Linked DNA regions of Ovis aries. The protein of the gene in region 2 interacts with the protein of the main gene of each other region in a pairwise test. Links are inferred from orthologs where the notes say so. Each region holds a gene or a part of one and is shown on either strand. Other genes may lie near its edges.

Evidence for each region.
Region 1: the proteins of CKM (region 2) and ASB9 interact in binary tests that used the Homo sapiens proteins (3 or more experiments, as listed by UniProt). The two-hybrid records come from large-scale screens. The link is inferred for Ovis aries from reciprocal best matches to the Homo sapiens genes CKM and ASB9.

Annotation. Positions count from the first base shown.
Region 1 is NC_056080.1:13,451,589-13,468,099, reverse strand, and holds the start of ASB9 (ankyrin repeat and SOCS box protein 9), read left to right. Parts: upstream 1-6,656; 5' UTR 6,657-6,910; coding exon 6,911-6,986; intron 6,987-15,071; coding exon 15,072-15,151; intron 15,152-16,511. UniProt on the Homo sapiens protein: Substrate-recognition component of a cullin-5-RING E3 ubiquitin-protein ligase complex (ECS complex, also named CRL5 complex), which mediates the ubiquitination and subsequent proteasomal degradation of target proteins.
Region 2 is NC_056067.1:52,742,454-52,758,651, forward strand, and holds the start of CKM (creatine kinase M-type), read right to left. Parts: upstream 8,849-16,198; 5' UTR 8,795-8,848; exon of another isoform or gene 8,682-8,794; intron 6,623-8,681; 5' UTR 6,602-6,622; coding exon 6,409-6,601; intron 5,385-6,408; coding exon 5,230-5,384; intron 4,814-5,229; coding exon 4,681-4,813; intron 2,672-4,680; coding exon 2,500-2,671; intron 1,251-2,499; coding exon 1,127-1,250; intron 709-1,126; coding exon 519-708; intron 14-518; coding exon 1-13. UniProt on the Homo sapiens protein: Reversibly catalyzes the transfer of phosphate between ATP and various phosphogens (e.g. creatine phosphate).

The DNA.
Region 1 (16,511 bases), on a different chromosome or scaffold from region 2:
ATGTGTATATATATATATACATATTTGTATGAATGTGTGTATACACACATATATAAGTAGGCCCATGAATATTGAATACCTATACACATTTTTTTTTAAATGAACCCTTTGTGAGTAAACTGTGAGTTTTATAATTCTTCACCAGGGCTGATTAGGAGGAGGTGAGTGAGGCAAAAAATTTAAGGGGGCACCGAAAAATGTTATCAGGAGAAAAATCGTGCAGTATTAACAAAATTCAAATGTTAAGGGAAAAACGTCCCCAATGACCAAAATATCAAAACATTTTAAGAAAGACAGGCTGTGGTTTGTTTTACAAACCTGCATAACAGTGTAATGAAAGCAATGTTCCCAATCAGCCCAAGGTCCTGGGACATGGGGCTGCTGGGTTTATGAGGAATGACAGTGGCTTGTGAACAGAATGGGCAGTGCTGACTTTACATATACTACTTTTTCTTTAAAAAAAAAAATTATTAGGCTGCCCCAGGTTTTAGTTGTGGCATGTGGGATCTTCATTCCCTGACCAGAAATCAAACTTGGGCTCCCTACATTGGGAGGACAGAGTCTTAACTACTGGACCACCAAGGAAGTCCCAAGTGTTTCTATTTTGTGCAAAATATGTACATAGGGACACACGTTTCTCCCCTTGGATCACGCTTCCACAAGGCTCTGCACTGAGTACTTCAAGTAAGCATGTCCTAAGAACACAGCTTCTTTGACATAAGCGTGGGCGGTGCAGTGATCACACGCAGGAAGCTTGACATTGATGCACTTGGAGTATCTGATATACATCTATATTTAAATTTCTGTAGTTGTAGCACTGATGTCTTTTATGCCTTATCCTCCCTAATCAGGATCCAATCAAGGATCATCACATTTACTGATCAAGTCTCTTCATTCTCCTGTCGTTTAGAAAGCCTCCCCCACCACTTCTGGGTTTTATGCCACCCCACTGGCATTTTTGAAGAGTTCAACCTCATTGTTATGAAGACTCTCAGTTTTGATTTGCCCGATTGTTTGCTCAAGAATACTGCATTATGCCAGATTTTCAAAAAAACACATCCTTGTTTGAATCTTACTGCACTGATCTATGAAGTAAGATTGAGTGACAGCTTTCTTTTTCTTTTTTTTTTTTTTAGTTTTTTATTTTTTAAATTTTAAAATCTTTAATTCTTACATGCATTCCCAAACATGAACCCCCCTCCCACCTCCCTCCCCATAACATCTTTCTGGGTCATCCCCATGCACCAGCCCCAAGCATGCTGCATCCTGCGTCAGACATAGACTGGCGATTCAATTCACATGATAGTATACATGTTAGAATGTCATTCTCCCAAATCATCCCACCCTCTCCCTCTCCCTCTGAGTCCAAAAGTCCGTTATACACATCTGTGTCTCTTTCCCTGTCTTGCATACAGGGTCGTCATTGCCATCTTCCTAAATTCCATATATATGTGTTAGTATACTGTATTGGTGTTTTTCTTTCTGGCTTACTTCACTCTGTATAATCGGCTCCAGTTTCATCCATCTCATCAGAACTGATTCAAATGAATTCTTTTTCATGGCTGAGTAATACTCCATTGTGTATATGTACCACAGCTTTCTTATCCATTCATCTGCTGATGGACATCTAGGTTGTTTCCATGTCCTGGCTATTATAAACAGTGCTGCGATGAACATTGGGGTACATGTGTCTCTTTCAATTCTGGTTTCCTCGGTGTGTATGCCCAGCAGTGGGATTGCTGGGTCATAAGGTAGTTCTATTTGCAATTTTTTAAGGAATCTCCATACTGTTCTCCATAGTGGCTGTACTAGTTTGCATTCCCACCAACAGTGTAGGAGGGTTCCCTTGAGTGACAGCTTTCTAAAGTAACAAAAGCAGCCAGCTCAGTGTGCAGAGCCAATTAGGCGGGCACAACTAAGACAGGACTTTTTTCAGGAAAAGCAGATCACTCTGAATGACCAGAGGAGAGATGCACCTTTTAGGCTTTAAAGGTTTTGTACTTGAAAACTTGCCGGCTGGAATGACAAGAGGTTTCAGCTCTGGGGCCGACTTTGACTGATTGAAGGTGACTTCCAAGTCTCCCCAAGGTGTCAGGAGGAGTCTTGGAATCCCATGAGTGATGTCAGCCACAGATCTATAGGTGAGGGGTGGGGCAGAGTCAGTGGCCAATATTAAGTCTGCGTTTGATAAAGAATGATTATGGCCTTACTGCTGATACAGGCCATAATTCTTTTTTCTTACCTAAGCTGGGCTGAGTTTCCTGAACATGCAGACAGACACAGAGACCAACTCAAATCTGGTAGATTGTTTTGCTCTTGCAGCTTCTTGTAAGCCAAGCTGTTTCTCTTTAATGAAAGCTCATATACATGTAGTTCAACTTTATCCACATGTGGATCCTTAAAAATACATCAACTTCCCTCGTAATATTTTTCTAATTCCTGACTAGAACTGTTGTTAAATAGTTTAAAAACAAAACAACAAACAGTTCCCATCTTCCAGTGTCCACAGGTGTTGATCAGCATTATGAGAAGATAAAATGGTGATTAATTCCTTCCCAGATGCTAAGGCAACAACCTTCAAATCTTCTTTATTGTCGTTTTGGACAATCAAGTTAACTTTGAACACAGAGAAACCTTATCTTCTTGGAATTTAATGAAAAGTAAATAAAGAAGCTTTACTATGAAGATTTTGCTCAGAGAATCGGATGCTTTCCAGCTCTCCTGCTGCACTGTTTAACTCCTTGACAGCCAGTCTACATTGGGAGTAAATTTCTCCCTTTGCCAAATACAAGGTTCATTTTTCTTCAGATCTTTCCTGATACAATAGTGATCAATGTATATATGCTTATGGCATTCTCAGTTAATTCTACAAATAGAGCTGGAGGGCAATTTCAGTTCAGTTTGGTTCAGTAGTTCAATTGTGTCCAACTCTTTGCGACCCCATAAACAGCAGCACGCCAGGCTTCCCTGTCCATCACCAACTCCCGGAGTTCACTCAGACTCATGTCCATTGAGTCCGTGATGCCATCCAGCCATCTCATCCTCTGTCATCCCCTTCTCCTGCCCTCAAATCTTTCCTAGCGTCAGGGGCTTATCCAATGAGTCAGCTCTTTGCATCAGGTGGCCTAAGTATTGGAGTTTCAGCTTCAACATCAGTCCTTCCAATGAACATCCAGGACTGATCTCCTTTAGGATGGACTGATTGGATCTCCTTGCGGTCCAAGGGACTCTCAAGAGTCTTCTCCAACACCACAGTTCAAAAGTACCAATTCTTCGGTGCTCAGCTTTCTTTATAGTCCAACTCTCACATCCATACATGACCACTGGAAAAACCATAGCCTTGACTAGACTTACCGTTGTTGATGAAGTAATGTCTCTGCTTTCTAATATGCTGTCTAGGTTGGTCACAATTTTCCTTCTAAGGAGTAAGTGTCTTTTAATTTCATGGCTGCAATCACCATCTGCAGTGATTTTGGAGCCCCTCCCCCCCACAAAAAAAAGTCAGCCACTGTTTCCCCATCTGCTTGCCATGAAGTGATGGGACCGGATGCTATGATCTTAGTTTTCTGAATGTTGAGCTTTAAGCCAACTTTTTCACTCTCCTCTTTCACTTTCATCAAGAAGCTCTTTGGTTCTTCTTCACTTTCTGCCATAGGGTGGTGTCATCCACATATCTGAGGTTATTGATAATATTTCTCCCAGCAATCTTGATTCCAGCTTGTGCTTCATCCAGCCCAGCATTTTGCATGAGGTACTCTGCATATAAGTTAAATAAGCAGGGTGACAATATACAGCCTTGACGTACTCCTTTTCCTATTTGGAACCACTCTGTAGTTCCATGTCCAGTTCTAACTGTTGCTTCCTGACTTGCAAACAGGTTTCTCAAGAGTCAGGTCAGGTGGTCTGGTATTCCCATCTCTTTGAGAATTGTCCAGTTTGTTATGAGCCACACAGTCAAAGGCTTTGGCATAGTCAATAAAGCAAAAATAGATGTTTTTTCTGGAATTCTCTTGCTTTTTCCATGATCCAGCAGATGTTGGCAATTTGATCTCTGGTTCCTCTGCCTTTTCTAAAACCAGCTTGAACATTTGGAAGTTCACTGTTCACGTATTGCTGAAGCCTGGCTTGGAGAATTTTGAGCATTACTTTACTAGCATGTGAGATGAGTGCAATTGTGCAGTTAGTTTGAACATTCTTTGGCATTGCCTTTCTTTGGGATTGGAATGAAAACTGACCTTTTCCAGTCCTGTGGCCACTGCTGAGTTTTCCAAATTTGCTGACATATTGAGTGCAGCACTTTCTCAGCATCATCTTTCAGGATTTGAAATAGCTCCATTGGAATTCCATCACCTCCACTAGGTTTGTTCGTAGTGATGCTTTCTAAGGCCCACTTGACTTCATTTTCCAGGATGTCTGGATCTAGGTGAGTGGCAATTTGGCAGTATTTAAATTTTAAGTGAACTGATTAATAATTGTAGATTCATATGCATTTTCCAGAAATAATACAGAAAGGGCTCCTATAGCTTGGCCCAGTTTCCCCCAATGATAACTTTGTGCAAAACTGTAGTACAATATCACAACCAGGAAGTTAACATTGAGACCATCCATTGATCTCATTCGGGATTCTCGTTTGACTTGTACCCACTCCTGTGTGTTTTAGTTCTGTAGAAAAGATCACATGTGTATGAGCACACTCTTAGGAATCTCGCCTCTGGAAATAATTGCATATTGTCACTGAGCCAAATTTGGGTCCACTCAGTGTGGTAAAGTCTATTGACACTGCGTTGTGACGAAGGAACATATAGCATTTATTACAGAATACCAAGCAAGGAGAATGGGCAGCTCATGCTCAAATGACCCAAACTCTCCAATGGCCTTCAGGGGAGGGGTTATAAAGGCAGTGTGAGTGAGGGAGCTGCAGGTTGTGTGATGAGCTTGCGCACAGTTCTTGGATTGGTTGGCATCATGATGACGTTTCAAGCATCATCAACCTTTGGGTTTTGACCAGTCTGAGGTCTACGTGCTTGTGGTCATCAGTTTTCATCTGGGTGGTCTGCTTCCTGTAAAAACAGCTTATGCATGTGTGTCAGCCCTTTGTATCTTTTAGGGAACTGAGAGTTCAGTTAGTTTGCTATGTGGCAGATTTATAGTCTAAATTGTTACCATTTCCCCAGCCTAACAGCTACTCTTTGTTTCTAGTCTTCACCTTTGCTACTTGCTAATTCATGTTGGGGAGGCCTGGGAAAGTAAAGCAAAAAGCCTTTTACTTAAAAACAGGGACACAGAGGCTTGTGTTGGGCTCCAGTTCCCCCTTTTTCTTTAATAGTCCTCTGTCTTGAGGGGCACAGGTTCAGGACAAGAAAGGGAATATACTTTCAAATAGAGAGGTTAATCATAAACTTGGGGAACAGAGTTTAAGGGGGACTCAGTTTCAATATGTGCATGAAGCCATATGTAGAAATATATGAAGTGCAGTATTTTTGCAGTAGTAAAAGAAAATGGTAACACTCTGCCTCCATCATTAGGGGAATAATGAAATATTTTTGGTGTGAAATACTTAAGGAATGCTCTGCTGTAGTGAATAAAGAAAAGGACAGAGCCATTGAGTTATTCTGCTGAAATGAAAAGATCCCTAAGACAAAATAAGTATAAAAAGTGTTTGTGTTAATATAATTACAATCATGTGGAAAAGGTACAGCAATAAATGTGTATCCCCATGTATGCAGGAAAATGCATTTTAAAATATGCAGGACATTCCTCACACTGTAAACAGTGGCTCCCACATCGGTCAACTGAGGCTTGGTGAATCTGAAACAGTAAGGCTGTATCTTTGACATTAAAAATAATTGGTGATCACTGCACAAGCAGACTATGCTTGAGACTAACCCAGAGCCTTCCCGAATGGGGAAGGAAAGTCCCTTTCTACTTGGAGAGGGAATGGGAATCCAGGGGTGGCCATCAGCCTGAGCCAGCACCCAAGGGTATGGGGAAGCTGGGTGTATTTGAAAGGACACGGACAAAACCCCAAATGTTTTGTAAAGGCAAACGGGGAAAACTTCACACAGTAAAACTTTTTATAACTAATCATTGAAAGATAGCAGCTCACCTCCAGGCCCCCTTGCTGCCCAGCAATCCATTTTTCCCCCAATAGCAACCCTGAATTATTTATTTAGAAGTTAAAATATAATGTGTGGAGGAGGGTGAGCAGGACACTTCGTGCAACCCGTGCAGTCAGAAGGTAGAAACTAGAGGTTCTTTCCAAACGTGCATTTTTGTAACATATAGACACATTTTCCCATAAACTCCCAGAAAAATTGAAACCACATGTGCAGATGGTCAGGGCGTGCTGTGTAAGTTGCTGTGCAAGCAATTCAGCAGGGCTGCAGCAAAACCAGCTCTCTCAGCTCCTGGGTTCTGGGGCTTGTCTCAACAGCAAGAAACCCCCAAACAACAAGTGGATCCAGCAGGCAAACAATGTTGCAGCAGGCTAGCGGTCTCCTCCCCCCACCCTGTTCCCTGGGCTCTCCCAAAGTTACAGACTGTGAGTTTCCTTCCTGATAAACCTCAAGGCTTCCTCACTGATTGGTCTCAGTTTTGGAAAGGACGTGACATCAGCAACTTTGCAGACTTTAGGCTGGGGGGCTGTTGTGGGCTTTGGGCAGTCTCCAGCCTGTGAGGTAAAACGTGCGTGTGTGCGTGTGTGTGTGTGTGTCCCCGTGTGCATGTGCCTGTTTGACCACAGGTAGTACTCAGATTACCCTGCCTGTCCTGTTCTCTGCCATCTGACCAGGAGGGTGCCGCTCAGCCACTCACAGCCCTGGAATTTCCCAGGAGCCGGGGGTGCATGGAATTTGGACTTTCCTGAACAGCTGAAGTGGAGTGTGGAGCTTGACCAGCCCAGGAGAGCACCATGGATGGTGAACCACCAGGCAGAAACGGCAGCAAGCCCCCGGACATGAGGCTCTTTTTCAACCCATTGATGGGGGGTGAGTTTAGGGGCTGTGTTGTCAGCCTGCTGGGGAGGTCTGTTAATGTGCTTAGGAGAGAAGAGAGACGAGGGTGGGGTGATTTCAGTGGCTTCATCTGAAATGTGGCCACGGGGTAGTTACTGGACAGATGTCCATGACTTGCTGGTATCTGCCCTTCACATGGTTGTTCCAGAATGTGTACACCTCTCTCTGCAGAGTGCTATGGACCATGTCAAGCCACTGATCACAGTTTATTCCCCAGGAGAAATGTCAGCTGTAAAGTTATTTTTTGTGGGTCAAATATATCATTGATATTCCATTGGAGGTTTGAAAGTCACTTCTAAATAGGAAGGAATATCTTCACTGCTAAAACATTTATTAAAAGGTCTTAGGTATGTGGCATTTGGGTGGGGCTGGGTTTATAAATGATGTTCAGAAATTGAGCCCTGATTGATTCACTTTAAAAGGAGCCTTTTTTTTTTTTTAACCTTTGGAGCAGTGTTTTAGAGGTTGATTCTCCCCTGTCTCATGGTGTCTTTGTTAATGCATAGAGTCCTGTACCTCTGGGAAACTGTCATTTCCTGTGAGCACTCAGCAGGTACCTGCTGACTGAAAGGATTCTGGAAAATGGGTCTAGACATTAGAGGAGGCTGATTATATGATTATATTCAGCACCCTGGGAGGCTGCCCAGAACACTTGCTGGTCAAAGGGACAAAAAGCAGGGACCCTAACATCAGCTAGGACTGGCTACTCTCCTACTGCTTAGGTGCTGAAGGGGAAAACACACACACAAAGAAATACAAAATTGTTCCCTCTGGCTCATGGAGCAGACAGGACTGTTCAGGTTAGTTGTTTGTGTATCCACTTTGGCCTCATAAAAGGAGCAGAGTCCTCAACAGCAAGTAGAATTTGGATCTCCCAAGGCAGACCTGGATTAATCAGAGATACTGAGCGTGAACTTGGAGCAGTAGAAAGCAGAGTAGCACCATAAATAACTTTTAAAATGGGGTTGATAAATATATTTTTAAAGCAGCAAACCAATCAACATGGGGAAGAATCAGTAATGTGGTTGACTTCTGCATGATGATTTTACAGCTGAGTTTATTTTCATTTCTACCTGAGAGAGGGGCACTAGCCACTTTTCACTGTTCAGGGTTTCTAAAGGTTCTAATCCAGGAATTCCCTGGCAGTTCAGTGGTTAGGACTCCATGCTTCCACTGCAGGGGGCATAGGTTCGATCCCTGGTTGGGGAACTAAGATCCTGCGTGCTGTGCCACTGTGGCCAAAAATATAAATAAATAAAGGTCCTAATCCAACCCTGGTTGGGGCTGGCTGGGTGGGTGTAGGTGGGCAGGCGCTGTCACAGCTGGACTGCAGTGTCTTAAGGAGTCTAATGAGAACACTGGAGAGATGAAATCTCAAAATGTAGCTTCAGAAGCTAGGTGGATGAGTTTAGCCTTCATGAGGCAGGGAACTGGGAGCCATTGATGGTTCTGGAGTGGAAGCTTAGCCATAATAAAGACTGTAAGTAAGTTAATGTGGTAGCCATAGTCAGGATAGATTGTGGAGAATTTATGAGAAATTATTGTACTAAACTCGTATACATCAGTATCACCTGGATGGATTGTTAAAATGCTGATGGCTGGGCTCCATCACCTCAGATACTAGGTCTGGGGTGGGGCCTGGAAATCTGTATAACAAGCTCCCGGGTAATGCTGATGGTGCTGTTTGGGGACAATACCTTGAGAACCACTGCGTGAAGCTGATATCTGGATCAAGCTTCAGAAATGACAGAGAAAGGGAAAATATGGCTTGTATTTTCAGAGGAAAGAGAAATCAAGCTCTGTTGCTTGATTAGCTCAGCTGGTAAAGAATCCACCTGCCATGCAGAGACCCCAGTTCGATTCCTGGGAAGAATCCCCTGGAGAAGGGCTAGGCTACCCACTGTAATATTCTTGGGCTTTCCTAGTGGCTCACATGGTAAAGAATCCGCCTGCAAAGCAGGAGACCTGGGTTCGATTCCCAGATTGGGAAGATCCTGTGGAGGACGGCATGGCAACCTGCTCCAGTATTCTGGCCTGGAGAATCCCATGGTCAGAGGAGCCTGGAGGGCTACAGTTCATGAGCTTGCAAAGGATAGGACACGACAGAGCGACTAAGCAGAGCACAAAGGAGAGAAGGCAGCCAGAAGTGCAACGTTTTCAAAGCCGAGGGTAATGTCAGCTCAGAGGGCTGGATGAGAGAAAAGTCGTGAAGGGGAGCTGGCCTGGGGATCAGAGTGAGATAGGGAGGAGAAGGACTTGTGTTTGAACGTGAATGTGCCAATGGCTGTGCCCTGGGCTCAGCATGAAGGTGCGGGACAGAGGCTGGGCAATGAATTCAGGTTGGGAATCAGGCCTCAGGCTGTTCTGCAGAGGGGCTGGGCTGAAATCCTGGAGAAGGAGACATTGTCTGATGGCTCAGTCCAAGGGTGGAGCCCTGGGACAGACTTCCATTTGAGGACGGAGAACCAGTAAATTGGATAGAGAGGCAGGAAGAGACTCTGCCGCTGCTACTGCTAAGTCGCTTCAGTCGTGTCCGACTCTGTGCGATCCTATAGACGGCGGCCCAGCAGGCTCCCCAGTTCCTGGGATTCTCCAGGCAAGAACACTGGAGTGGGTTGCCATTTCCTTCTCCAGTGCATGAAAGTGAAAAGGGAAAGTGAAGTCGCTCAGTTGTTTCCGACTAGTAGCGACCCCATGGACTGCAGCCTACCAGGCTCCTCTGTCCATGGGATTTTCCAGGCAAGAGTACTGGAGTGGGGTGCCATTGCCTTCTCCGGAAGAGACTCAGATGTTGTCATTTCACAGGGACTAAAGGAAGAGAAGTTTCCCAAGAGGCAGTAGTCACAAGGGTGGGCGCCAGGACCCCTCTGCTTGCCCAATTCCTCCTTCTCTACATCTGACCCACAGACTACTGCCCCTTCGAAGCCACTGCCCTCACAAAGCCCTCCCAGACTTTCTCCCAGCCCTTACCCAAGTGGAGGCTCGCTCTCCCTACTGTGCATCAGCCCTGCCCCTTGGGCAGAATTTCACTGATAGCTGGATTGCATTTATTTATGCTTTGAAAGCCTTGACCTTGGTGAAGTGTGGAATGTGAAACACTCAGAATGTTGTTTCCAGGCCTTGATGAGAAACTCAACTCAGGTGAAGCAAATCCCCTGGCACTGGACCAGGGCAAGAGGTCAGTGGGGTGTGGTTGCCCTTGGGGAGCTTTGCTGCTCCCACCTGCACTGGCAGGCTTTTCTTGGCTGCTGCCTCTGGAGGAAGGGAGGAAGGGATACACAGATGGCAACAAAATATTTATAGAGATGGAATTCTTGACCCTTCTGCCCCAGGAGTGGGAATAGAATGTCCTTCTTTTCCCCTGAAAATACCTTGTTTTTGATCACATTGTGTCCCTCCCCAAAACATAAGCTGAAGTCCTAACCCCCCGGACCTCAGGTTGCGACCTGGTTAGAAACAGAGTCATCGCAGGTGTAATCAGTTAAGGCGCGGTCACAGTGGAGGAGGAAGGCCCTCCCCATGACTGGTCCCTGGAAGAAGAGCAGAGGAGGCAGAGAGGGATGAAGCCTTGTGGCAGCAGAGCCAGAGGTTGTAAAGATGCATCTGATGAGCCAAGAAAGCAAAGACGGACACCCCACACCAGAGGCTAGAAGAGGCGAGGAAGGACTTCTTCTCTTAGGGTGGATTTTTAGCTGTTGGGCCACCTCAACAGGGGCCATTTTTCTGGGGGAAACTTGCCTGATCCGACAGGATGGGTTGAGGGGGTGAGGTCTCTATGGAAGAGGCCCCTGGAGAGAGAGACGCAGACAGGAGAGGCAGGGTGATGGAACTGGGAGAAAGATTTGCAGTAGACAGGACTGATGTGCCCGAGAGTTGCCTTGTTGGGCCTTTGTCTCTTTGTGACTGTGAGCCTCTGTTTCTTTGTCCTGTTTTGATTTGTCCTGCCATCTAACCGAGGTCCACAGTCACTGTCAACACAACACCCAGATCCTCCCCAGTGTTGGTACTCACCACTGAACCTACTGAAGGCATGTGCTCCCACTGTCTCTGAGCAACGCAGCCCTTCTTCCCCTCCTTGCCCTTGCAAAATGTTTCCCAGGAGGAACAGTGGATACTCTTCCCAGCATTCACTGCAGGCTTTCAGAGCTTCATGAATAATAGCTCTTTTCAGAATGTACTAATTAGTACATTTCCAATCTCTTCTGAATAATGGAAATTTTAAAAATCATTCCAGAAATGGCAATAAAGATGAAATGGCAGCTTTGCTAATGTGCTGCAGGGTTTGATGGAGACTCAATTTAAAAGAAAGGTAAGTTGAATAGCACTAATTGGAGGACTTGTGGCATTGTTTCATGAGGAGAGCTCCTTGCCTCATGTCAACCACGAGCTACACTAGTGAATCTGTGGCATTGCCAGTGACCCCATTTGGCATCTATTTCTTGGCAGTAAAACCAACAGTTCTTAGCTGATAAAGGACTGGGGAAAAATTCTTAATATATACCGAGCACTTAAATGATGTATTGTATAGATATAATAGCCCTTGAGTTTCCAGGGGTCAGTGGAAAAGGGAATGTGACTTTGAGTTTTCCTTCCATCCATAGCCACCTCCTGTGAGCAGCATCCGTGTTCTGGCAGGAATAGTCCCCTTTCCTGCTTATTCTACTCTCTCCCAGTTGTCAGCAGGAAGGCGGGCAAAGCTGCTTTGGGGTTTAATTGCTCATGTGTTAAGCTTGTAGCTCATTGCCTGCTTGTGATGTGGGCTCTGGAAACAGCTCCTGGATATCTCATCAGTGTTTTTAAGAGCTAAAGAGAGTGTTAGACCAATCCATGTTTCAAATTAGAGCATTTGCTAAATGAACTATGCATAAAGTCCATGCTCTCAATGCTAGAAAAATGTCAACCTTTCACAATTTTAACTCTGTAGATAATCAAGTGTTGAGAGACCAGCTGAGGCTCAAGTCTTTGTATATGTTTGAGATGACCTATACAAGAACCTAAAGTTTGCTTCTGGCCTGGAGTACTGGCATGCTCTGGTAGATTCACCTAATCCTAGTCTGAAAGGACTTTAACTTAGGAAGGGAATCTCATGTACTGCTGTTGGTAGTATAGCGTGGTGCAGCTGCTTTGGAAAGTAGTCTGGCAGTTTCTCAAAAGGCTAAACACTGGGTTACCACATTATATAGCAATTCCATTCCTGGGTGTCTATCCAAGAGAATTGAAAACATATATCCACTCAAAAATTAGTACATGAAGGTTTAGAGCAGAATTATTAGTAACAGCCAAGAAGTGGAAGCAACACAAATGTCTATGAGCTTTTTGGTCTATCTATCTATACAAATATTATTTGGCCATAAAAAAGGATGAAGTGCTGATACATACTCCAATGTGCATGGACCTTGAAACATTCACAAAGGACCACAGGTTGCATGATTCCATTTGTGTGAAAAGTCCAAAAAAACCCCCACATCCATAGAGAAAGAAAGTAGATCAATGGTTGCGAGGGGTTGGGGGAAGTGACTGCTGCTGGGCAAGGGGTTTCTTTTTGGGATATTGGAAATGTTCTAAAATTATGATGATAGATGTACAACTCTGAAATCTACTGAAAACCACTGAATTGTGTATTTGAAAGGGGTATATGTGAGTGATAAATCATCAAAGCTGGACAATACCCTGTGCTTCTTGAAGACACAGATAGTCTCCACTTTGTAAATATTGGGTTGGCCAGAAAGTTCGTTTGTGTTTTTTTTGTGATGTATGGAAAAACCAGAACAAATTTTATGGCCAACCCAATAATACTATGTGCTAATGCATGGGTACAAAACCTCAAGTAGTCTTTTTTTTTAATGTACTTTTTTCTTTTTCTTTTTTTATGTACTTCTTCAAGTACATAATTCTTTATTTACCCTAAGTAAAAGGAGTCATGCTTCCGTGATGAATGCAAACAAGTAAAGCCCATTTTGGTCTACTCCTGATAAGATAATTGCATCACTTTCATGAAATCTAAACAGAGTTACAGTTTAGGACCCAAATTACCTGTCTGGCTGTCAACTCTGATTATCTGAGTTAATTTTAAGAAAGGTTGAGGAGTGTGGCAGTGATATTTCTTAGCAGCTGAGAACTGGGAAGGAAAAAAATTGGCGTAATCCTCAGAAACATGGTGATCCAACTGATTTTTGAGATCTTTCTCAGCTTGTGGCTCTTCTCACTCAACAGTGTGTATGGATGGTATTTTGCCTTTGAACCAACAGGGTAGAATGAGTTATCCTTTTAATTCTAATTTGGGGATCAGTCTTTCGGTATCTGCCATCTGCACTGTAGACGCCAAGCCCTGGAAGCAGTAGTGTTTCTCCTGAGAGCATTAGGACCCTCAGAGAATGGTGCAAGGACTCTAATTTTCTACCGAGCATGAGTTTTTGGAAGTTAGGGAAAGTCATTTCCCTGACCTTGGGCACAATGATGAGCCCAGAAGGGAAGCCTTGGATGCATGGTGTGGAAGCAGGTTCATTCAGCTTGCTCTTCTCTATTAAGAGCCTTGTCAATCCATCTGGAAGAATGGTAATGTGCTCACTGGGACAGATTTTCCAGGACACTGATAGCTCCAGGTGGCAGGCCTACGTCAGCCAACATGTTAAGTCCAAAGTGTTCTAGCCTCCTCCTCGATGGGCTGGCGTTGGCCAGGCTTTAGTAACTGCCTTGCTTCTCCAGGTCTTCGGACTTTTAGGAGATACAGCCCATTCACAAAGTGTGACTGATGTCAGACCACCCTACCTTGCTGGTGTGCCGTGTGTTTGCTCAATCAGGCAGAGCCTGAGCTGTGGCAAGCGCAGACTAGCCGCCTCATGCTCTGACTTCCTGCCTTTGTTCTAGAAGCCAGATGCAGCTGGAGATGAGAAAAATTCAGGTCTATGCCAAATTCAGGGCACATCCAGTCAACGAGAAAGAGGGGGAAGCATTTAGTGTGTTGAGGTGCATTTTACAGGCTTCTTTCCTAAGATAGTGTATTCTTTGCGTATAGTTAGAGAATACATTTGCTAATTTTTTTTAAGATTTTTTTTTTTCCCTAATGTGGACCATTTTTAAAGTCTTTATTGAATTTGTTTACAGTATTGCTTCTGTTTTTCATGTTTTGGTGTTTTGGCCACAAGACATGGAGGATGTTATCTCCTCGACCAGGGACCGAACCTGTACCCCATGCATGGAAAAGCGAAGTTGTAACCACTGGACCACCAGGGAGGTCCCTGCTATTTTAAATAGCAGTGACTGTGGGGTATAATCAATACCCTCTAATTAGTGTTAGGGTGGGATAATAATAGTAGCTAGTAGAAGTTGAGCCATAGGTTAAGTATATCGCTGTCCTGACTTTACAGAGAAGGGAACTGAAGCTAGGTTCTGCTCCACAGACCTAGGTTCAGCTCAGAAGAAGTCAAGTGGGTCTGAATTCACAGATTTCTCCTAATCACGCTGGCACACTGCCTTTGTGGGGAAATCACATCCCTCTTGCAAGGTCAGACTGAAGTCTGATTTGTGCTTGATATTGGGACAGGAGGTAATCTACAAATAGATAGGGTTTTGTTTAGATTTGATTCCAAGCCTAATGGCGTATGTAATGACATGATTACTGCTATTAGTATATGGCACTGTTTGCTGAGGTGCCAGAGTTTGTATTTCATGCAGGAAACTAGGCTGGCAAACACAGTTTAATGCACTAATGCTGCTAATTAGTGAAGCTCTCATTTAACTAAATGGATCATTTGCCTTTGAAACCAGTGTATAAATCGAAGTAGAGTAATCTGTCATCCCAGTCCACCTCTTTGTCTTCAGTTTGAAAGCAGACTATAGTTATTTCCTTAGCTAGCTAGACATTTCAAATAAGCTGTATTCAAGAAACATCCATAGAGGGGAGAAATGCTGAAGTTCTGATGAAAGGGGTTGGTTGCTTGACTCCAATGTTTCCCTCCAGTAAGACCAGTTAGGCTCTTATTGATGGGCAAGGATGAGCCTCTGAGTCTAAAGTGCGATAGCAGGATGTAACTAACCTCTTCCTCCCTTTCCATACAGATTCTGTATCTGATTGGTCTCCTGTGCATGAAGCAGCCATTCATGGACGTCTGCTGTCTTTGAGGAGCCTCATCAACCAGGTAGATAATTTTGGGGGGAAAAAATGATGAATATTAGGCAAGTTCTACGGCTCACCGCACTGAGGAAAAGAAGTCATAGTCTGATCTTAGGATGTAAATTTCCTGTTTAGCAGAATGAGATGAATGCTGTCCTTCTTTGTTTGGAGGCTGGCATAATACTAGAGTTTAGTACAATTTTATGCACAAAGTAGATTCTGTAGACTCTATTGAACGAATAGTGGGCAAATTAGTGCATTCAAGTTGCTGTCACTTTATTCCATAGACTATCCTGGAAAATTATCACGTAAAGCAGTGGTTTTCAATTGGGGCAGTTCTGCCCAGATGGAGACATTTGACATTGGCTGGAGACATTTTTGGTTGTCATAGCTGGGAGCAGGAGTGGGAATGGGGTTGGGGTGGTGGTGATGTTGGCATCTAGTAGCTGGAGACCAAGGAAGTTAAACATCTGACACTGCACAGGATGACTCTCCACATTCAACAGTTATCCAGCCCCCAGTATGAGTAGTGCTGAGGTTGAAGACCCTTCACATAAAATAAATGCTTGAAAATGTCTTTTAAAATATGTCATCTTAAAATAGCAAAGAAATGTTCAATTCTATTGAATCTCCAGTGGAAATGGCTCTGCCAGTTTGATATTAGTTTCTCTGCTCCTTCGATGGGATACTTAAGTACACATTAATTGGAATTTTGGTGGTTCGAAATTATTGGGAACTTAAGCAAAGGTGCTTTTTAAAAAGTAGTTTCAATCACCACTCAAAATTCCAATAAATTTTTGTTCATAATGTTTGTCCTCTGAAGAGACAATATAGACCTTTTAAGTTAGGAGCTCTTGGCCCTTTCCTGGACCCCTTTGATAGTCTGGCAAAATCTAAAGACCCCTTCTCAGACTAATGTCTTAAATACATAAAATACAATATAGAGGAACTCTATTAAACAAATGTGTAACATAGTACTATATGAACTTCTTTATTAACACATTCATTAAGAAGATTTAGTGGCAATTCTGATTATTACCATACTTTCTAAGTAGGTGAATGTATTTTGAGCTACTTTAGATATCTGCAATAATCAAGGCAATTAAAAATATCTGTGATTCTTCTCAGTGATGTCCTGTTACTATTGTGGTTTGTGGTCTAGATTCACAATCGAAGGACATGATAAATTTCAGGGGTTAATTCTGGAAATATTAATAAATGTGCTTTGAAAAATTCCAATTTCACAGACCTATCTAGACTAAGAAATCCTCCTATAAGAAGACAATTTTTAAAGATGAATTTCAGACTACTCTAAGTCACTATCTTAAGCTGTTTTTAGTAGCAGCAGCCTCATAAATAGAAATATAGATAGTAGCACATAACTA
Region 2 (16,198 bases):
GTGTCCACACCACCTGCGGGAGTAGGAGGCAGGGGCTAAGGAGCCGGCAGAAATGCTTGAGCGGGGCCTGGAACGCGGGCCGCCGTGCCAACCGCGCAGGCGGACGTCCTGGGTGAATGCCTACTGTGTTAAATTCATGCAGTTTCCTGAGCGTCTGTCTATTCTCGGGCTGGCTTTAGGTATCTCACCCCTCAAACATCCAACACTGTGGGTAACGGAGTTGAGCTCAGGAGCCGGGCTGCCTGGGGTCGAATCCTGACCATCTTCCCCTTTACAGATGGGAAAGTGAGGCCCCTAGGCGCCCAGGGACATACACAGTGTATATTAACCATATAACCATGATGGTATATGGACTTCTCTGAGATAAGGCGTGCTGAAGCCTATTTTCAGAGGAAGGACTGAAACTCACAGAGGAGCAGCCCTTGCCGCCCCCCAGAACCCGTGGGGATGCCCCCGCTTCCCTTCAGCCATCGCTAAGGGCCAGCGCTGGAAGCCGCAGGAGGGAACTTGGGCCGTACCTGTGCCTCGCTTCTGCAGGCGCAGGCGAGTGAGGATCTCCTCGAACTTGGGATGCTTGCTCAAGTGCGCCAACTTGACATGCACGCCTCCCCGCAGCCCGGTGCCCAGGTTAGATGGGCAGGTGAGCACGTAGCCCAGGTGCTCGTTCCACATGAACGGGTGGCCGGCCTTCTTGAATATCTCCTCAATCTGAGGTAGGGGGAGAGGACCCGGGATCAGCCCTGTGGGTGCCCCCAAATGCACCCACAACCGGGGCAGGGCTCCGAGGGACAGGGGGTGAGAATGTCAGTGGTGGTAGGACTCCGAGAGGGCGGGTCTGGAAAACCTGGAGACACGAGATTCTTGGGGCAGGGGCCCGACCGCACAAGTGATGGCTGGATTCTGACGGGGCTGGGCTTGAGGATGCCTTGAAGGCCGGTTCTTGTCCGCGGGGCTTGAGGATAGGGGTGGGGCCGGTTTTCCAAAGGGCGGGGCTTTGGAAAGCGAGGGAGGAGCACCGCTGAGGGGAGTGGCTTCGGTGCGGGGAGGAGCCGGGTTCCGAGGGGCGGGGCCCGGGAAAGCGGCTGGGGGGGCGGTCACTTGGAGTCACACGAGGGCGGGCACCCACCTTCTGCAGCCCCACGCAGAAGCGGCGGAAAACCTCCTTCATGTTGCCCCCCTTCTCCATGGAGATGACTCGGAGGTGGTCCTCCTCGTTCACCCACACCAGGAAGCTCTTGTTGTCATTGTGCCTAGCATCGGGCGCAGCAAAAGGTCAGGGAACCAGCTCCGCGGGAACCCGGTTCCCCTCCCTCTTGCAAACACACGGCCACCGCTAGGGGGCAGCGGGCCTAAAGGGCCCGAGGCCTGAGCATCTCAGTCTCAGGAGCTTACACCTTTAAATGTCACAGGACCCGTGAAATCTTGAATCGTGGGATCAGTGGCTTTCAGGGTCTTAATTCTTTGCACAATATTATAGAATCTTAGAATATCAGAATCGCTGAAAAACGGAAACCGAGAATCAGAGTTGATAAACCTTCCATGACATTGTGGCATCGCAGAAGGAGTCTTAGACTGGAAAACTTTAGGATCTGGAAATGTTTGAAACCATTGAATCACAAAATCTGACATTAGTGGAACCTGAAAACACTTAAAATTTTACAACCTATACTCTCCAAATTGTTTGAAACCGAGGTTCTCAAAACCTTTTAAAACCTTTGACTATCAGAATGAAGGCGGGGGCATTTTCCCTGATAGGTCAGTTGGTAAAGAATACGCCTGCAATGCAAGAGACCCAGGTTAGATTCCTGGGTCGGGAGGATCCTCTGGAGAAGGGATAGGCTACCCACTCCAGTATTCCTGGGCTTCCCTTGTGGCTCAGCTGGTAAAGAATCCGCCTACAATGTGGGAGACCTGGGGTTCTGTCCCTGGGTTGGGAAGATCCCCTGGAGAAGGGAAAAGCTACCCACTCTAGTAGTCTGGCCTGGAGAATTCCAGTCCATAGGGTCACAAAGAGTGGACACGAATGAGGAACTTTCACTTTCATCAGAATCAGGGATTAAAAAATTACTAGAAAGCCCAGCTAACAACAATAATTAGCAATAAATATCATGCCAATGGCCAGTATGGATACTTACTATATACCAGACACTTTTCTCAACACTTTGCATAAATTAGTTCATTAATCCTCATAAGAACCCCAAGAGCTATGGATTATCACGATCCCATTTTATAGATGGAGATTTGGGGCAGAGAAACATTAAATTACGTGCCCAAGATCACACAGCTAGTAAATGGCAGCCCTGGGATTTGAACCTAAGGAGTCTGGTTCAAATCTGAATTTCAAGCTTTTTAAAATGTGACATGCAGACCACAGGGAAGGCAGGAGCGGAGGGCAAGATGACCCTGGAGAATTGCTGTAGTGGTCTTGACTCTGGTGGAGGGTTGTGGGACGACTAGAGGAGGCGGGGCAGAAGGGGGGCATGGGGCAAGGGGCCTCACCAGATACCGCGGGCATCAGGCCAGTCTCGGGCCATTCCTGAAGCCAGCAGCAGCGGGGACACGGGCTTGTCGAACAGGAAGTGGTCATCGATGAGCTGCTGCTGCTCCTGCTCCGTCATGCTCTTCAGAGGGTAGTATTTCCCCTTGAACTCGCCCGTCAGGCTGTTGAGGGCTGGTGAGGGGCCACAGGAAGGAGGGGTCAACAGCCTGCCCTACAAGGGGGGTGCACAGGCCCTGGGGACCCCACACTGCTGTCCCTCGGGGGCCTAGGCCTTGACCCTGCAGAGGTTCTAAAGGTGTCTAACCACCCCCAAAAAAAAACATGCTCCTCCGCCGTCTGCCCAGGCCGGGGAGCACCCACACTGTGTGCTCAAGACCAAAAGCATGGACTCTCCCTTGCCTGCCACCAGTTCTCACGTCCAGTCAGACTATCTGCAGGCGGCAGTGTGCTGCTGCTCACTCCTCCTGGCTGGTAGGGACAGAGTCAGTCTCAGGCATCTGGGAGCCATCAGTGAACAATATTATAGTATATATAGTATTTGTATATATTCATAGGTATTCATAATACAAAGTATGTATTAAGTGTTGGAGAAGGAAATGGCAACCCACTCCAGTATTCTTGCTGGTAAAATCTCATGGACAGAGAAGCCTGGAAGGCTACACCATGGGTTTGCAGAGTCAGGCATGACTGAGGAGTTGAGCATACACACACACATGTATATTATATATATAATAAATATATAATACATATATGCATTTGTATATATTCATATCGTCATAAGACATGACAAATATGTGTATAATGTATTTCTATAATACACATATTTTTAAATATGTTGTACATATTTGTATAATATCCTATATAATATGTTCTATATCATATACTACATACTATATTGTTAAAAATAAATTACAAAAACAAATAAATAAACTATATTGGGTCAGCCAAAAAAATTGAGTTTTCCTATAACATCTTTCAGAATGAACTTTTTGGCCAATCCAGTGTTTGAAATGAAGGTAGTGAGTACTCAGAACTATCACTTGCCAATTACTTTACTACACTTACTGTTTTCTATGTTCTTGAAGTCACCTGTTGTATCTTCATGGTGGAAATTCTACATAATGACATGCTGCTGCACATCTCCCCCCATTGCCCATCCCTGTATGATGTCTCGTGGTTGGCTTAAAATTGGCCTCTGTAGGAGAATTTACACCAGAGAAATTGGCAGTTGCTGGCAGCAAATCAAGGCTGCTGCTGCTTTTTTTTTTTTTAGAGCCAATTGTTAAATATTTAGCAGAATGACACTGCCTGCCAGCCCTAATGCTTCTACCTCCAAACACACCCATTCTTTCTCCCCATCCCACTGCTCCCCTCACTCCCCAGCCCCGCGTGGACCCCTGCAGTTGCCCTTCTCAGCCTCTCCTACCGCTGCCCACCGACTGTTCCCCACCAGGGGGATCCATGTAAGTCTGAGCATGTCCCTTCTCTACTCACCACTCTCCCACAGTGTCCTCTTCCCACAGGGTCAAAGCCAGAGTCCTCCCAGCAGCCCACAAAGCTCTGGACAACCTGGCTATCCCAACACCCCTCTGGCCTCACTTCCTCCCCTCTCCCCATCACCCACTCAGCTCCAGCAACACTGGTCTCCTTGCTATTCCTCCAACATACCATCCCACCCCAGGACCTTTGCACTTGCTGTTCACCTGCCTAGATTTCTTCCCAAGGTTGGCTCCTTCTTGTCAATCATGTCTCAACTCCTTTCCAGCATAGCTACCCACAGTCATTCTGTGCCAAAACCCTTGTTTCTTGGCTTCAGGGCATTTGGGGAGGATGTATTCTTTTGTTGGTTCCAGTGTTTCCTCTTATCTCCCCACCAGGCTGACAGCTCTGCGAGAGCAGTGACCTTGGTCCATCTTATTCACCATGGGGACCCCAGCTCCCCACACAGGGCCAGAACAACCGTAAATGTTTGCTTGGTGGATAGGTGGATGGATGAATAGATGGATGAAGGTCAGGACCCTGGCGCAGTTGGGTGTCAAATCTTGACAGCATCCCTTAGACCTCCCCCAGGGGTAATACTGCCAGCTGTCACTCACCAAGCACCTGTGATTATCAAGTTCTTGCAGTGTTTTGGCAAATGGGGGCACAAGGGGGTCCAGACCTGGGGTGGGGGCTCTCACCTTCCACGGAGAGTTTCTCCACGGCCCGGCGCTCGCCGCGGGAGCAGTGAGGGGGCAGTGCATAGCCCTTGATGCTGCGGCCCGTGCGGACACGGCTGCTGAGCACGTAGTGGGGGTCCAGATCGTCTCCACCCTAGGGAACAGCGGGGAGTCAGGGCTTGGTGGACCATCCTGTGTGCCCTGCCCCCTGCCCACCAAAATCAAATCTCCCCCACAGGCCCTCCCAGCTCTCTTGGGCTCTCAGCTGCTTCCTTTGGCTCTTCCTCCCCACTGGCCTCTCTCCCCCTCCCTCCCCGGCTCTGTCTCTCTTTTCTCTCTTCCCCCCATCTTTATCTCCCTCTCCATCTCTGTGTCTGTTTCTCCCTTGACTCCCTGTATGTTTTCCACCTGCTTTCCTCTCTCTCTCTCCCCCAACCTTGGCCATCTTCTGTGTCTGCCTGTCCGTCTTTCTTCCCATCCCCCTCTGTGTTTCTCTCCATGTCTGTCTCCCTGTCTCTCTGGGTGTCTCCTCCCCCCACCCCGCCCCGCCCTTCCCCTGGGGCAGCCGACCTTGAGGTTCTCATGGTTGAGATCAGTCTTGTGCTTGTCGGTGGGTTTGAAGCCCCCGTGCCGGTCCTGGATGATGGGGTCAAAGAGGTCCTTGAAAACCGTATAGGACTCCTCATCACCAGCCACACAGCCCACGGTCATGATGAAGGGGTGACCTGGGGGGTCAAAGGGAGGTCAGAGGTGCTTGTCACCCTCGGGGAAGACCTGGGCTCCTGGGTCCAGTGTAGACTGTGTGTGCACACGTGGGTGTGTGTGTGCGTGTGTGCGTGTGTGCAAGGGATTTCACTGAGCACCGTGGGCCAGAACTGAGGAGGCTGAGGGTGGGTAGGAATGGGGAGAGGAGACTGGGGGAGATCGAGGCGGTATCTGGGGGTGGGCGGTGAGAGGAATGTTGAGTGCAGGGCAAAGGAGAAAGGAGAGTCTGGGGGGCGAGTTACTAAAAATATTACCACGCGTGAATCCCCACATCAAGGGATCGTCCCCTAAAAAAGTTCAGAGCCTTAGATACTCTTAACCCCCACCAATAAGAAGAGGCTTGAAAGACTCTTGGGCTTCCCTGATGGTCCAGTGGTTAAGACTCAACACTCCCAATGCAGAGGGCCAGGGTTCAATCCCTGGTTGGAGAACTAAGATCCTGCATGCCTTGTGGCCAAAAAACAAAACAAAACAAAACACCTCATTTCTCAAGTAGGGAAACAGAGGCTTGAAGAGAAAGGGCCTTTTCCCTCAGTCATGAGTTGGAGGCTGAGGCCAGAAGCTGGTCTCCTGCCCAGTTCCACCCGCCCTGGTGGGGTGTTCCTGGAGAAGGAACCCCCTGTCAGAGTCAGAGTGCCCACTCGGTGCCAGGAGCCACTCCACATGCCTATGTTTTCCCAACCTGGGTGCCCATTTTTCAGGTGAGGAAACTGAGGCCTGAGGAAACTGAGCTTCCCTCAGGGGAGTCTCACGTGATAGTTGCACATATTTAGCAAGTGGTTTGCCACCTGCCAGACCCTGTCCCAGGCCCTCACACATTCAACTCATCTGTTTCTCACAGCAGCCCCATGAGTATGGTCCCCACTTTACAGATGGGAAAACTGAGGCTCAGGGAGGTGGGACTGAGGCCTGGCAGGCAGCCTCCAGGCCACCCACACACACACCGGCCTCACAGTCCCTGGGACGCTCCCCCAGGAGGTTTACCTGGGTTGTCCACACCTGTCTGGATGACATCATCCAGAGTGAAGCCAGATGGCGTCTCCTTGTCCCGCAGCTTCTTGTAAATCTCGAGGGTCAGCGCCTTGGCCATGTGGTTGTTGTGCTTGCTGAGGTCTGGGTATTCCTCCTCAGCCTTGAAGTTCAGCTTGTGCTTGTTGTGGGTGTTACCGAACGGCATGGTGGCGGTGGTGTGGGGGGCCTAGTGGGGAGGGGTGGAGGGGGGAGTTAGGTCACATCCACGGAGACCAGCAAGAGAGCAGAGCCAGGCTCTGGGTCAGGCAGGCCTGAGAGCCAGTCCTGAGTCTTGGGCTGTGTGACTTGGACCCAGAGGGATCCCTTCTCTGAGCCCCTGCATCTCAACAGGATGTATCATCAGTCTGGGGTTGGGATCTTAGCTCTGCCTTATCCTGCTGGTGACCCTAGGCTAATAGCATTGCTACAGCCTCACTTTCTCCAGCTGGAAAAATGGAGGAGAGAACCCCTCAAGCCTGTGATAAGATATGATAACTGATAGATAAGAGTATAGGTTCTAGAATCAGGCAGCCTGGCTTTGAATCCCAGCTCTGCTGTGTGACCTTGGGCAAGTTACTTAACCTCTCTGTGCCTCAAAGTAATCACCTGTAAAATGCGGGTAGAATAGCACTCGTCTCATGGAGGTGCTGGAAGGATGTGATGAGTTCATTACGTAAAGCACTTAAAATAGTGCCCGACACACACTAATTATTTTGCTAGCTATTGTTATTATTGTTGTTTTGAATTACAAGGAGCTGGTGAGGGTGGAGGCTGTTGCTGGGAATGAGTGTGCGAGCAGAGAAGCGCCGTTCTCTCTATGAAGATTCCTGGGTGCTCAGTCGAGGGAGGAGGGGCAGGGTGCCTGCCCCCACCTCTGTGTGCTGACAACTGTCCTGCAGGGCACAGTTAGTAACAGCTCAGCCTCTGAGGTCGACAGAGCTGGGTTCAAATCTCACCCATGCCATCTCTGGGCTGTGTGACCCTAGGTCAACTGCTCAGTCTTTCTGAGCCTCTGTCTTCTGTGAACTGAACTTTTCCCCTGGGGTTTCCAGGAGGATTCTTTGAATCCAGCACAAAGCCAGTTGAGCACAGGCCCTGGCATGGAGCTGGGGCCTTGTAAAGAACCTGCCTGCCAATGCAGGAGGTGTAAGAGATGAGAGTTCAGTCCTTGGATCAGGAAGATCTCCTGGCGGAGGAAATGGCAACCCCTTCCAGTACTCTTGCCTGGAGAATCCCTTGGACAGAAGAGCCTGGTCTGCTAACAGTCCAGAGCGCCACAAAGAGTCTGAAGCAACTAGCACGCACACACCTAGAAGGGTGGTTGCTGTACTGTTGTTATTTTATTCACAAGACCCAGGAAGAGGGAGGACCCTTTAGCGGTGGTGGTAGGGATGAGATGTTCATTCCCAGCTCCAGGAATGGGAAGTGGGCAGGACGGTGGGAAGGAGATGGGCACGAGGGTGAGCTGAAAGCCGAGGCATCAGGCCAAGAGGGATGGAACCCACGAAAGCCTTTGGAGTTGATGTTCAGGGTGGGGATTTATTTTTAGAATCTGGCAGACTCCTCTCCCCCACCCCCAGCTGCCACCCCACCCTCACATTCCAGGGGCTCGGCTTGCACCACGTCAGCAGGCCAGAGACAGGTGGTCCAGGGTGGCTGGGAGCACATGCATTCAGGCTTTGGGGCTCAAGGGCTTTCAGCCCAGAAAGCCCCCTTCAGAGCATGTCCCCACCCCCATCCCTCCTGGGGGCAGGCCGGGAGAGGGCAGGGAAGCAAGGTCGGGGAGCCCAAGAAACACCAACAGACGTAACCCAGAGCTCCTCCTGCACACACCCGCACGCACCCCCAGGTAGCACGGTAAATGGGCCCACATGTGCACACCTCCCAGCTCAGGGACACTGGCATACAGGGACTCATGCAGGAGCCACAGAAAGCCAGACAGACACAAGGTCACGCTGTGCAGAAGGCAATGGGACCACAAGGTCACTAAGGCAAAGACCCTGACAGGTGATACACAGACACCTCCCACGGCTTACGGCACCCAGTTCTGGCGACAGACCATCGTGAACAAGGCCTGGCCCGCAGCCCCTTGCAGGGGGGCGACAGCTGGCCACTGTCAAGGCTCCTTTCCATCCTGGGGTCTCCCCCCAGGATGCGTGCCCCAGCCATCACAGGCATGGCCGGGAGTCAGGGGCTGTAGGTGGAGGGGACCCTCGGACATAAGGACCACCTTGCCACACACTGACCTGCCTGTGCACGGGGGCATGTGGGGGGCAACATGCAAGTCCCCTTCCAGAGACAGCTCGACCTCTGGCTCCTATGGAAGACACCCCATTCTGGACCCTACCCCGGGCAGTACCTGGCTGGGCGGTGCTGGAAGGGGCTGTCTGTATCCCGGAGGCGACACTGACCCAGAGGAAGGTCCTGCAGCCCTGGCCTTATATAGGGGGGGCCTGAGCTGTGTGATTGGCTGGGAGGGGCTGCCCCTTGGGAGCGGGCTGGAGGGCAGCTGAGCTCTTCACCTCACTGCCCAGGCATCGTGCCCACCCCGAACCCAGGCATGCCTCGCGCCCAGCCCTATGGCCTTGTATGGGCCGCGCCAGGGTCTGGGCCCATATCCCCCCCGCAACCAAGCTGGTCCCCCGACCAAGTGCTGAGTCGGGCTGGCGGGGACAGCTGGAGCCCCGCCGGGGCCACGGGATAGTGTCAGGAAATGTCCCAGGCACGTAGAAGTCACCCTCCCCTGGCCCTCCGCTAGGCCACTGGCCTCCCCTGAGCCCCCAGTGGCCTTGACCCCAGCACACAGCAGGTCCTGAGCTCTGTCCCTGGGGAAGCCTTGCAATGGCCCCTGGAGGTCAGGTCTTTGGTTTTCCTGCAGAGGAAAGGGCCCAGAGAGGCTGTGTGACTTGCCTGCTGTCACCCAGCTACAGGCAGTGTGTGACCAAGGCCAAGGTGGGAACAGGGGACGGCCTGACCCCAGAACCCTGTGCTGGGATGCACTTTCCTCCTCGGAAGTGCAGGGGAGGGAAACTGAGGCTGGGCCGAGCTAGGGCGGTTCTTACTCAAGGCCAGGTTGAAGGTGGTGGTCACCCTTTCCACTCCAATCGACCAGCCCAGTGACCCAGGGAGATTTCTGCTGTGGAGGGGACAGAGAGGGACAGCCTGCCAGGAAGGGAGTTTATTTTTAGAGCTCACTGCTCGCGATCTCCTCTGGGAGACCCGAGGTGCTGGGGCTGGGGGGGCATGGGGGCAGGTGTTGGTGGGGTGAGGTCGCCACGTGTCCGGGTTAATTATAACCCAGCGTCTCGGGTGTCCCTTGGCCTCGCCTCCTTACAAGGGCAGCCGAGAGCTCGGGGAGGCCAACCCCAGCCACGGCAGAAGGGGGCTGGGTGGCAGCTCAGGTCAGGGACGCGCTCAGATCCAGGCTCGATCAGGGACCGCAAGGGCTGAGGAGGAGATCCTGCAGAAATGGGATGTCACAGAGGGAACGGCGTCTTCGGCCTAGAAGGCACCAAGACTGCAGGATGCAAGGATCGGGCAAGTCCAGGGAGCACCCAGCATTGAAACAAAGAAGAGAATGTTCCTTTCCCTCTGGAGTTCCTCCCTCCTCCTGGGTCTCCCCCGCTTCTTCCTAGGCAGGGAGCACTGATCTAGAGAAAGGGGGGCCCTTTCTGCCTCTCCCAATGTTCCTGGTGGTAGGGGGGCTATTTAGAAAGCTTTTCTCCTTGGGGCCTAGTCCGTGATCGCTCCCCTCACTGTCCTGTCCCAGCAAGGTCAGTGTGTCAAAGCACTCCTTCATAGTTACAGAAACTGAGGCCCAGAGAATGAAAAGGAACTGGTCTAGAGTCGTTACGGCATGTATCATGTCAACAATTATTTATTAAGCACTTACTGGGACCCAGCAGAAGATAACCCAAACCCCTGTCCTTATGGAGTTAATATTTTAGTGAGGGTGAACAAGTTGTTATACATTTTAATGTTGGGGACAATGGGGCTTTGAAGGAAAGAGACAGAGGGTAAAAATGCAAGTGACGGGACACAGTGGAGGAGATCAGGTCAGGCCTCTCTGGGGAGGTGACATCCAGGCAGAGCCCAGAGGGAGCCAGCTATGTGGGTGTCTGGAAGGGGGACAGCAGGTGCAAAGACCCTGAGGTGGGGGTGGCTTGGCATGTCAGAGAGACGGGGAGGAGGCTGGAGCAGATGGAGGGGAGAATGGGAGGAAGAATGTGAGGTTGGAGGGGGACCAGGAGCAGACCTGTAGGGTCCTAGGGCTCCGATGGGAGTCCCTGAGGGTTATGAGCAAAGGAGAGACAGGATCCAGCCACGTCACACACAGCCCAGCCCCCGGGGCCCCTAATAACCCCTTGTGTGCACATCTGACATTCCTCTTGGTAACACAGCAGCCGAAGTCCTTTCTATATTGAGGGAGTTCTCCACCCTTTGACCACCTCCTTTGGAGAAGCCCAAATAGTAGAAACTCAGTTTCCCAGAATCCTTTGCCGCAATGGTTCGCTCATGTGACGTGTTCTGAGCCAATCAAACCCTCCAGCAGGACCTTGCAGTCATGTGACCTAAGCTGAGCCAATCAAACCCTCCAGCAGGACCTAGCTGTCATTAGCCCTACCTCCTTTATCTTGAGTCCCGCAGAAACAGTTGGCCTTGGGGTTGGCCTTGGGGAGCACTGTGACCCTTATCGTATAGCTTCCTCCCACCCCTTGAGCCCCTCAAGTCTCCAAGGCTTGTCCCTCCCCCACCCCATACCTCAGGACTTTCACATTCCCTCCTGCCCTAGCCTCCTCGCTGGTCTCCTGACCCAGTCTTGGCCCCTCCACCGACTTCCCTGCTGACCTTTCCTGCTCCGAACCTGTCATGGCTCCCCAATGCTCGCAGGAGAAATGAGTGTTTGTTGACTAAGTAAAAAATAGCCTTATCAATCAATAGGAAACCCCTCCGGCCAGCTTAGGCATAAACGGCTTTCCTACCAAATGCTTACAAAATTGTTACAAGGGCTGAAGGAACACCTCTTGCTCTCAGAACTATGCTTCCTCCGGGAAACTGGACATGCTAGAAGGAGGTTAGCGTGGAGGTTAAATGGCCTCTCCACTTTCTGGGAAAGACTGAGGGTAGGAGGAGAAGGGGGCTGTAGAGGATGAGATGGTTGGGTGGCATCACCTACTCGATGGACGTGAGTTTGAGCAAACTAAGAGATAATGAAGGACAGGGAAGCCTGGCGTGCTGCAGTCCGTGGGGGTCACAAAGAGTCGGACACAACTTAGCGACTGAATAACAGTTAACTCTCGGAGCACTCCTACATGTCGAGTACTAGGCTAACTGCTTGACATTTACTAACTCATTTACCATTCTGAGCCTTACCAACAATAAGGCTCAGAGAGGTTAACTGACTTGTCCAAGGTTGCACAGCTGGGAAAGAGCAGAGCTGGGAATCCAACTGGCACAGGGCTGCTGAAAGTAGGTTCAGTGTTTGGCGAAGATAATTTCCAGACTTCTCGGCAAGGTGAGACTATATCATCAGCCCCAGAGTCCCTTCCTAGGTCTTCAGGCCCACATCCCCTTGCCCACTTCATCACCTTAGCAGTCTGACTTCAGGTTTCAATCACTGTATGTGTATTAACCAGTTTTAGTTTTCCAACAGTACTATGAGGTAGGTCCTGAAAATTTTACACAGCAGGAAAGTGAAGTCAGAGAGTCTGAGTTACTTGCCCAAAATCACCCAGCTGGAAAGTAGCAGAAGCAGACTGGATGAGTTAGTCACTCCCTTCCTCATTTTACCTCTTTATGCTGAAGCCTTATTTTATAGAGAGTGGATGCTGAGGCTGCAAAAGGGCCAGGGATTGCAGATTTTCTTGCAGTATTCTCAGGAGGCAGAAGGTACAAGGGCGCTTTATGGGTTCTCTCTTATAAAGGCACTAATCCCATGCATGAGAGCTCCACCCTCATGATCTAATCACATCATACTAATACCAAAGTGAGTGAAGTTGCTCAGTCATGTCCGACTCTTTGCGACCCCGTGGACTGTAGCCTACCAGGCTCCTCCATCCATAGGATTCTCCAGGCAAGAATACTGGAGTGGGCTGCCATTTCCTTCTCCAGGGGATCTCCCCAACCCAGGGATGGAACCCGGGTCTCCCGCATTGGAGGCAGACACTTTAACCTCTGAGCCACCAGGGAAGCCTAAAGGCCCCACCTATTAATACTATCACCTTTGAAGGTTAGGATTTCAACATATGAGAAAATACGTTAAAATCATAGTTGTTTGTTGTTGTTTAGTCGCTAAGTCGTATCTGACTCTTTTGTGACCCCATGGACTTTAGCCCATCAGGCTCCTCTGTCCATGGGATTCTCCAGGCAAGAATGCTGGAGTGGGTTGCCATTTCCTCCTCCAAGGGATCTTCCAGACCCAGGGATCAAGCCCGGGTCTCCTGCATTGGCAAGCGGATTCTCTACCACTGAGGCACTAGGGAAGCCCTTGGATCATAGCACCAAGGATATTGCTAAAGTGAAAGTGTTAGTCACTCAGCTGTGTCTGACTCTATGCAACCCCATAGACTTTAACCCCATGGACTGTAGTCCACCAGGCTCCTCTGTCCATGGAATTCTCCAGGCAAGAACACTGGAGTAGGCAGCTATTCCCTTCTCCAGGGGAGCTTCTTGACCCAGGGATCAAGCCAGGGTCTCCTGGATTGAAGGCATATTCTTTACCATCTGAATCACAAGGGAAGCCACCTAAGTGAGGACAATTCTATAACCTATTACCACAAAAATACAGTGAAACACATCACCCCAAAATGCAGGAGCTTAAAAGCGGATGTAGGGCTGGCTGAGAGTTGGTTGTTTTGGGCTGGGTGAGACTGGGAAGCTTTGTTTTATACCATTATGTTAAAAATGGGACAACAGGCTCAAAATGCTGGGTCATGTCATAAAATCAAGACTTAATGACAGTTGTGGCTCTCCCGGAGACTGAATCTTAAACCAGCCATTCAGATCAGCTCTAGTTGGGTAATCTGCCCAGATAGGTGCCTGCTGTCCCTAAAGGAAAGTGACCTCACCATAACCAGTCTGCTTTTTTGCCTGCTTTGTTGTTCCAGGAACTTTCTTGTTCCTGCTCCCTTCCTCCTATAAGAGTCTTCCGTTTTGTTTAGTTCCTCGAAGCTCCTTTCTGTCTGCTAGATTGGGTGCTGCTTGATTTGAATGGATTTTAAGTAAACGCAATAAAATGTTAACATGCCTCAGTGTATCTTTTAACAATATGGAGATGTTGTGGTAAGAGGGAACACACAGGGGCTGTGTCATGCCTCCATTGGGATGCAAGAGGGAATCTTCAAAGCCCCTGAGATCTAAGCTCAGAACTGGGAGGACTGTCACTTGTGCCCCTCTGCGATTGGCCAAAGCAAGTCACCACACCCAAAGTCAAAGCCATCATTACCCTCCAGGGGTCAGGTTTTTCTCATTTGCGTTTTTCTTAAATGGTCACTCACGCTCAGTCACACACAATTCATTTCTGTGGACTAGCTCAGGAGGATATTAGAAACTGGTAATCATGTCTGCCAAAATCACTGCAGATGGTGATTGCAGCCTTGAAATTAAGACACTTACTCCTTGGAAGGAAAGTCATGACCAATCTAGACAGCATATTAAAATGAAGAAACATTACTTTGCCAACAAAGGTCTGTCTCGTCAAGGCTATGGTTTTCCAATAGTCATGTATGGATGTAAGAGTTGGACTATAAGAAAGCTGAGAGCCGAAGAATTAATGCTTTTGAACTGTGGTGTTGGAGAAGACTCCTGAGACTCCTGGACTGCAAGGAGATCCAACAAGTCCATCCTAAAGGAGATCAGTCCTGAGTGTTCATTGGAAGGACTGCTGTTGAAGCTGAAATGCCAATACTTTGGCCACCTGATGCGAAGAGCTGACTCATTTGAAAAGACCCTGACACTAGGAAAGATTGAGGGCAGGCAGAGAAGGGGACGACAGCGGATGAGATGGTTGGATGGCATCACCAACTCAATGGAGATGAGTTTGGGTAAACTCTGGGAGTTGGTGATGGACTGGGAGGCCTGGCGTGCTGTGGTCCATGGGGTCTCGAAGAGTCGGACAAGACTGAGTGACTGAACTAAACCAAATCATGTCTGCTTCTTGGAAGAGTATCTGGGGATCAAGGAGAGACAAAGACCAACTTTTCATTCTGTAATCTTTTGTTATCTCTGAGCATCCTTCTGACACCACTTTTTTTTAAATTTTTATTTATTTATTTGGCTGCATTGGGTTTTTGTTGTGTCATGCATGATTTTTCATCGCAGTGCAAGGATTCTAGTTGTCTCACACGGGCTCAGTAGTTGTGATGAGTAGGCTTGGTTGCCTTTTAAAGGGATTACTCATTAATCCCCACATCAGCCTCACAAAATAGGTTACCCTTGTGAGTCCATTTCTACAGACCAGGACCGTGAGGGCCAGAGAGCTTGGCTCCTGGCTCAGGGATTGTACAGCCAACAAATGACGGAGCAGGGATGTGCCTTAAACCATCTGACTCGGTGCACTGGTTTGGGGTGAGCGTGTGGCAGTTCCAGAAACAGTGACCAGTGTCCTGAGGCCAGAACAATCGGGGACAAAGCCTCAGCTGCCCTCTTCCACCCTGTTCCCTAGACGTACCTGGAGAAGTAAGAGCGTGAGTTTGAGTTTGATTTTCCATCAGTCAGTCAACAGCCATTGTCAGTGCCTTCTCTGTGCTCAGGCTGTGCTGGGGAATGTGCCTTGGCTTTGTCAGTCCTTCTGGTGTTCCAGCGAGGGAGAGAGACATGTGATGACCTAGAGTGGGCAGGGTTGGAATGTGGGAGCCTAGACGGTCGCAGGAGCCCAGGAAGGTCGTATCCTCCAGCGAGAGGTTCCTGCAGGCGGGAGCATCTGCACTGAGGCTCCGAGAATAGGGGAGTGGTGCCATAGTCTGGTGCCTAGTCCACGGGACAGCAGCGCCCTCTGCTGGATATATACTATAGTGCAGTGATACTATAGTATCACTGGGATACTGCAGGGTTTGGCAAAGCAGGCGATCATGCTAAAATCCTGTGAGCCTATCTTTGGCCAATTTATGTTTCTAGGACTTGATTTATTGAGTAAGTCACTCAACAGGTATTTATTGAGCACCTACTTTGCACCACCTTGTTCTGTTGCTAAAGATAACATGCTTACAACACAAAGCCCTGCCTTCAGGGAGCTGGCATTCTAAGGTTGTTGTTCAGTAGCTCAGTCATGTCCGACTCTTTGAACTGCAGCACGCCAGGCTTCCCTGTCCTTCACCATCTTCCAGAGGTTGCTCAGATTCATGTCCATTGAGTCAGTGATGTCATCCAAACATCTCATCCTCTGTCTTCCCCTTCTTCTCCTTCCTGCCCTCAATCTTTTGCAACATCAGGGTCTTTTCTAATGAGTCAGCTTTTCGAATCAGGTGGCCAAAGTACTGGAGCTTCAGCTTCAGCATCAGCCCTTCCAATGAATATTCAGGACTGATTTCCTTTAGGATTGACTGCTTGGATATCCTTGCAGTCCAAGGGACCCACAAGAGTCTTCTCAAACACCACAGTTCAAAAGCGTCAATTCTTCAATGCTCAGCCTTATTGTCCAACTCTCACATCTATACATGACTACTGGAAAAACCATACCTTTGAGTGTATGGACATTTGTTGGCAATGTTTCTGCTTTTTAATACGCTGTCTAGACTGGTCATAGCTTTTCTTCCAAGGAGCAAGC